Daphnia pulex: one gene and its partner. The protein of the gene in region 2 interacts with the protein of the main gene of each other region in a pairwise test. Links are inferred from orthologs where the notes say so. Each region holds a gene or a part of one and is shown on either strand. Other genes may lie near its edges. The genes, in order: programmed cell death protein 10-like and serine/threonine-protein kinase svkA-like.

What was found.
Region 1: the proteins of serine/threonine-protein kinase svkA-like (region 2) and programmed cell death protein 10-like interact in a two-hybrid assay, tested with the Caenorhabditis elegans proteins (2 studies listed by BioGRID). The link is inferred for Daphnia pulex from reciprocal best matches to the Caenorhabditis elegans genes gck-1 and ccm-3.

The regions. Positions count from the first base shown.
Region 1 is NC_060025.1:9,340,550-9,344,384, reverse strand, and holds programmed cell death protein 10-like, read left to right. Parts: upstream 1-1,583; 5' UTR 1,584-1,923; coding exon 1,924-1,944; coding exon of another isoform or gene 1,945-1,948; intron 1,949-2,009; coding exon 2,010-2,336; intron 2,337-2,394; coding exon 2,395-2,736; 3' UTR 2,737-3,095; downstream 3,096-3,835. Other genes in the region: group XIIA secretory phospholipase A2-like, read right to left, coding at 597-709, 771-942, 1,007-1,074, 1,143-1,386; probable RNA-binding protein 46, read right to left, coding at 3,748-3,791. UniProt on the Caenorhabditis elegans protein: Involved in excretory canal elongation during postembryonic development. Plays a role in promoting Golgi stability, ER integrity and vesicle transport probably by regulating the activation of Rho GTPase cdc-42. Involved in fertility.
Region 2 is NC_060025.1:3,352,502-3,355,332, forward strand, and holds part of serine/threonine-protein kinase svkA-like, read left to right. Parts: exon of another isoform or gene 1-14; 5' UTR 15-84; coding exon 85-624; intron 625-1,274; coding exon 1,275-1,499; intron 1,500-1,581; coding exon 1,582-1,747; intron 1,748-1,878; coding exon 1,879-2,036; intron 2,037-2,122; coding exon 2,123-2,308; intron 2,309-2,376; coding exon 2,377-2,522; intron 2,523-2,610; coding exon 2,611-2,831. UniProt on the Caenorhabditis elegans protein: Serine/threonine-protein kinase which is required for normal oogenesis and suppression of germline cell apoptosis. Inhibits phosphorylation and thus probably activation of mpk-1 during pachytene stage.

The DNA of each region.
Region 1 (3,835 bases), about 6.0 Mb from region 2:
TCCATTCGCGGTAAATGGGTAAATCCGGAGTAAACCAAAAGGCAACAAGTTTTCCACTTATTAACAAGACTAGATGAGCCTATAATAATTTAGTCAGGGGAAAACGCGATGAAGAATACAGAAGTAAACACAAACTTTAGGACTGAGAGAGGCATTTAAAAAACTTTAAAAGGAAAAGCGATGGATTTTTCTTTCGTTAATTAGTTTCCTTTTGGCAAACTGAAATATTAATTAATTAAATACTTGAGTTTCACTAAAAAAAACTTTTTCAGAGAACTTTTCTCATGACATAATATACGGGACATTTGGGTGGATTACTTGAAGGGATTCTGTTTTACTCCTTACACTTAACTAACGGCGACCTCTTTGGTTCGAAAAGGAAACTGAAGAAATAAAGGAATTTGAAGAGATAATGCATCAAACACGACCAAAATATCTAGAAAATGAAATTTAGAATGGAAGAAATTAGTCAAATTTTGTAAAACCTAAAACTAACACTTTATTATTTAATTCAATTATTTCTAATTTTGATTAGAAATGGAGGATTTTTTTACAATGGATTTAATAGTTAAGCATATCATCACAAAATTTTTTTTTCAGAATTCATCTCTTGCATAGCACTGACAGGCCTTATTCTGTGCTTCTCGATAAGCCTGGCATCCTAAAGCTAATGTTCCTGTGTACATTAACTTTGCAGTCCCTTTGCAGGCTGAACAGAAAAAGGACATTTACTAACATTTTTAGAAAAAAAAAAAAAATTACATTATTACCTTTCATGAACAGCAATGATAATTCTTCTTCATGATTTGAACATACTTTGTAGAGGCACTTTTTAAAATGCAAGTCACACAAATCTTTATCGGCTCCACAGTCATCATAGCAATAATCGTGGGTGTGACAGCATTCTTCTAACTCTTTTAAAGGCAGTTTCTCTTCTTTCCACTGATGATATTATTAGCACAAGAGATTAAATAGAACCAGCACACACAAGGATTTCTTCATTTACCGTATATCCAAATGATCCACATCCATTACTTTCCGGTATGTGCAAAGGATTTGCTTTTCTGATAAATCCTTCAACAAGAAACAGCATCAAGAAGATATTTTAATCCAAGCAAATTTGTTTTTTTATGTAAATTAACCTTTTGGACACGTGTATGGCTCACAATCTTCATCGATAGTTGCGTCAACAAACTGTTCTACTACTTGAATCGTTTTGGCCAACTTAGCAAGCCCATCAAGCCCAGTATGCAAAAAACTTTTAAGGTTGTGCATTGCATTTTTGATTTCATCAAAATAACTTTTTTGTCCGTCGACAAATAAAGCAGAAATGGTCACGAATACTAAAAGAATTCTGATAACTCTTGCTCTTGGAAATGATGACATTTTGAACTAGAGCGATAAGCGTTGCCAGTACGACTGTAAAAAAATTAAACAAAAAATTTATTTCACCAAAAATATAAGAAATCAAATAATATTTTAAAATTCAATTTAAACGTCAAAATCATTAAGTTATAAAAATTAATAATCAATAAAGAATATATTCATTGTGTTTCCTCATTTCAAACAAGGTTGCCTTTTGAAATGAAGTAACAGAACTACGTACGTCAGATCAGATGGTTGAGCGTTATTCCTTTTGCTTATTTATTTGTAAGTGATATGTTTTGTTTATCTTAGATCCAACTGTGAAATTACTACACTGGATATCTCTGTTTCCTTTTCCAAGGTTTTCTTACCTTGTTTAGTACAAACACTTGTCTAGTGGCTTACTTTGATTGAACTCATTCGATCTAGTCGATCAACACACTCGTATTTACTTTCTCTAGACAAGCTAGTTGTAGTTGTGTGTGCAATTTTTCAAGAAATTACGCGATATCCCTATGGAATTTAACTTCTAGTGACACTTATTCTTATTCCAACATCATGCTAAAGCATTTATCAAATGCATGTGACTTTTTTAAGGCTTAAAGTCGCAAACTGTATCTCAACTAATTATCTGTTTTAAATAGGTAATTAAAGTGGCAGAAGCTTCTACAAAGATGACTATGGGAGAAGAAAGCATGTTGTCTTCTTTAGTGTTGCCTATTTTGGTGGGCCCATCTCTGGTAAACTTGGAGAAACAAGATCCAGGTGCTGCCCAACTGCTGAAAGCTGCCTTTAGTAATGCCGAATCTGCCCATCCAGGCCTCTGCCACAGTTTCATTTTGGGACTGATGAAAAAGGCAGAATTGTCACAAAAAGTCAACATGAATGAGAGTCTTTTAAGAGTTCAAGGAGCAGCCTTGGATCAAGAATCACCTGATTACAGAATTAACCGCTCTGAAGATGCCTTTCAGGTAGCTCCGCTTTAAATATCACAATTTCAAATACTCATGATAGCCCCTTACTGAACAGGAACTGTGTAAGAAGTCAGTTGGTTTGAAGAAGATCCTGAGTAGAATCCCTGATGAGATTGGAGACCGCAAAGCCTTTCTGGAGACTATTAAAGAAATTGCAAGTGCCATAAAGAAACTGCTTGACGCAGTTAATGAAGTGGCCGTCTACATAATATTCGGCTCGGGAAAACAGCGCCTGGAACAGCGAAAACGAGAATTCGTCAAGTATTCTAAACGGTTCAGCACGACGTTGAAAGAATACTTCCGCGATGGACAAGCAAATGCTGTCTTCCTGAGTGCCCTCTGCTTGATACAGCAATCCAATTTCATTATTACAACCGTTAAAGATTGTTGTGAATAAGTTTTGTTAAAAAATCTTTCAAGCTGCGGTGAAGGTCGATGCTCGGAGACGTCGCAATTCGGTAGCGGTTTAAGTGGTGCTTCACACACAGTCGTGAATATTTATATTTCAAAAAATAAAAACACAACTTAATCCGTTCTTTCATCGTTTTACACCGTCCATTTTCAGATCAGGTGTGAGTACCCTTGAGGGGGTTGTCTGCATCTCTTCACCCCATTTTTTTTTCTCTCTCTCGTTATCTTATCATCCACAAAATCCTTATTGCTCGCCACCTCCTAGACCGCTCCTAATGATGAAATCCGTTGCATGTTATCCTAGCCCGACCTAACATTCCAGAGAATAAACATTGTTGAACTTTCTATAAGCAGTAATTATAAGCCTGTTTATATATATGCGGTGGTTTCGTGTTATATATATAGTTAAAAAGTATAGAATACACAGTATATCTTCGCAGTCTAACATAAATGTTGAGATTTTATTTGAATAATACAGACCAATTCAAATGTTCTAATCTTTTCTCTTTTGAGCTTCTGAAGAAACACCTTCGAATTTCAAATGTTTTCATTGGTTAGAGCAATCTGTTAAACAGTTTTACTAGCAAAAGGAAGCATGTGTAGCTTTTGAGAGCAATATCATAAACGAAGGGATAACTGCACGAAGAGTATACAGCCAGAAATAAAATAAAACTTGAAAAGTAAAATGTAATAAGGAAAAAAAAACGAAGAAAGTTTCTTCCAATAACAAAAAGTACGCTGTAAACTGGGAGCGGTTTGGCAAGTCTCAATAATAAGCCATTTAAAACAAAAACAAAAAGTAGAGAAGAAATCTACTCGAACAAGTTCCGGAGGATTACGATAGCAATGATTGTTTAAAGTTGTTTAAGTAAACCAAGAAAATGACGTCATAGCAAGAAAGAAAGCTCGTAGTGTAAATTCTAGATTACACTGCAAATTATCAGTATTTTCCGCGTCAACTAGACTGACGGAAAAGGACAATTTCCAGGTGGGGAATTTAAATAGAAAGATTTTCAACCTGAACAGACAGTGGAGTTTCACCTATGATCAAAAGTACAAATCCATTTATTATTGAGTGGATAACA
Region 2 (2,831 bases):
ATTTTGAATCCAAGAAGAAATCTCTTGGAGAGGGGTGGGGTGAGGAGTCGTATGGACTGGCGGCGGCCGTGAGTGAGTTGAGACATGGGCATCATCGGCGAGATGAAGCGCGACAAATCGTTGGGAAGCAGCGCCAGCAGCGCCAGCAGTGGCAACCGGAGCGGCAGCAGTTTGTCGAGCGACCGGCCTCGCCCGCTCTCGGCCTTCTGGGGCGGACTCGGCTCCAAATCCTCGTCGCCCAAATCGGAGCCCGTCGTGCCCAAGGGCTACAAGCTCAAGCACTCGTACGGAGGATCTACCGGACACTTGGACGCCTACGGAGCCGGAATGGGTGGCGGGATGAGACCGGCTGTCTCCATGCCCGTGGTGGCGGCCGCCGCTGCTGCTGCCCACCACCTTCCGGTGGCGTCGCCCAGCAGCCGGAACAATACCACCAGCAGCAGCAGCAGCAGTGGCAGTCATCCCATTAGCGGGGCCAACAACATCAACAAACATCATCGCCACCAACAACATCGCAACAGTCTGCCGCCGGCCTTGATTCAACATCCTTCGCTGCAGCAGCGACCCAATCAGCAACGGCCACCGTCGCGTGCAATCGGCACCGGTGGCTTAACGTCCCGGATGGTAAAAACATTGGAAAAAAAAAGAAAACTAAAACTAAAAAAACTAAAAAGGGACAAACGGGACGAGAATTATTGCCGTGTGTGCCAATTTCCCCCCCGTGTCGTTTGACGACCGGTCCGTGAATGTCACCTGACGATTTTCTATTAAAAGAGAAAGAAAGAAAAGAAAAAAAGAAAACCGGCCACGCTTGACGCTTCCATGGGCGGATGATTATTAGTCTCATGTTCTTCGTGTCTTTTTTACATTTTTCGTTATTATTCTTCCGGCCATTTTATCCGGTTCTTTTTTTTTTGGCCAGTCGATATGCGTTTTGCGTCGAGTGCTGGCAGCAGCAGGAGGAGAGTGATAACTTGCGAGTTATCTTGAGTAGGTATTCCGTCGCCCCTAGGGCCAGCACTTAAAACGACCTTTTTGGACGTTGGTCAAGACGGGACGGTGAAAAAAGCAAATCGTGTTTTCACCGTTAGTTGATGCACACAAGGCACACACACAAGTGTGTCAAACATTCGGCACTCGATCATCGGTCTGGCCTTAGCCATAAAAAGGCATCCCGTTATGACGTCACGTTTCGCCTTTCTGACTGATTCCCGAATACTTTTATCTAAATACAAATTTTTGTTTTTGTTTGTCTGAATTTTTCTTGGTTGTAGAAAGTGGATCCCGAATTGATCTTCACCAAACAGGAGAGGATCGGCAAGGGCTCGTTTGGCGAAGTGTTTAAAGGCATCGACAACCGGACGCAGCAGATCGTGGCCATCAAAATCATCGACCTGGAAGAAGCCGAAGATGAGATCGAAGACATCCAGCAGGAGATTATGGTGTTGTCGCAGTGCGATAGCCCTTACGTCACTCGCTACTACGGATCCTACCTCAAAGTAAAAACCCAAATTCAAAATTTCTTTTTTTTTTTTTAAATTTCAGACTGACGAATTTCTCTTTTTTTTCTTTGTCTGTTAGGAGACGAAACTGTGGATCATTATGGAGTACCTGGGCGGCGGTTCGGCGCTCGACCTGATGAAGGCCGGCCATTTCGACGAAATGCAAATCGCCATCATCCTCCGCGAAGTGCTCAAGGGCTTGGAGTACCTTCACTCTGAACGCAAACTCCATCGCGACATTAAAGGTGAGAGAAAATTTTAAATAATAATCAACAAAAATGATTTCTTCCAAGAAGAGCACGGCCTTGGCCGTTTGGCTAATGTTGGCCGTCATCATCATCATCATCACCACCTCCCGTTTTCTCTTTCCCCGCAGCTGCCAACGTGTTGCTGAGCGAGCAGGGCGACGTGAAATTGGCGGATTTCGGCGTTGCCGGCCAGTTGACCAACACGACCAGCAAGCGCAACACCTTTGTGGGAACGCCCTTCTGGATGGCACCTGAAGTCATCAAGCAATCAGCCTACGACTCAAAAGTAAGGCGACATTCTGGTGTTGTCCAACCCGTTTTTCCAGTTTTAGTTTTCTTGCTAACGACATTTTTCTGTGTTGGCGTTTCCAGGCGGACATATGGTCGCTGGGCATCACGGCTATCGAACTTGCCAAAGGGGAGCCACCCAATTCCGATTTGCATCCCATGCGGGTCCTCTTCCTCATCCCAAAGAACAATCCGCCTCAATTGACGGGCAATTACTCCAAGCAGTTTAAGGAGTTTGTTGAAGCTTGTCTCAATAAAGATCCCGAAAATGTATAAATGAAATTCCGGTCGGAATCGAAAATTGAAAAAAATAACTTCATTTGATTTGATTAAAACAGAGGCCAACGGCCAAGGAGCTGCTGAAAACGCCTTTCATCCGCAAGGCCAAAAAGAATCCCTACCTGATCGACCTGATTGACCGCTTCAAAAAATGGCGGATGATGCACAACGGCGACAGTGGCACCGATTCCGACAACTCCGACTCGTACGAAAACCGGTTTTCATATATTTGACACTTGTTGGGTTGTTTGAACAGATTCACAAGAATTTCCGTTTGATTTCATTTCATTTAGTGAGGGCTCTCACACGGACAACGACGCCAGCGATCCGTGGATCAACACGGTGACGAGCATCGAGTCGATCGTGGCCCGCAGTGGCTACCCGTCGGATTGGAGCGACAACGGAGGAGATAACAAAGAGTCGACCACTACCAGCAGCACCAACAAGGTGTTGTCATCCTCTGAGCAGCAGCAGCAGTCACGTTCCCCGCCATCTTCAGCGCCGGTCAAGAGTC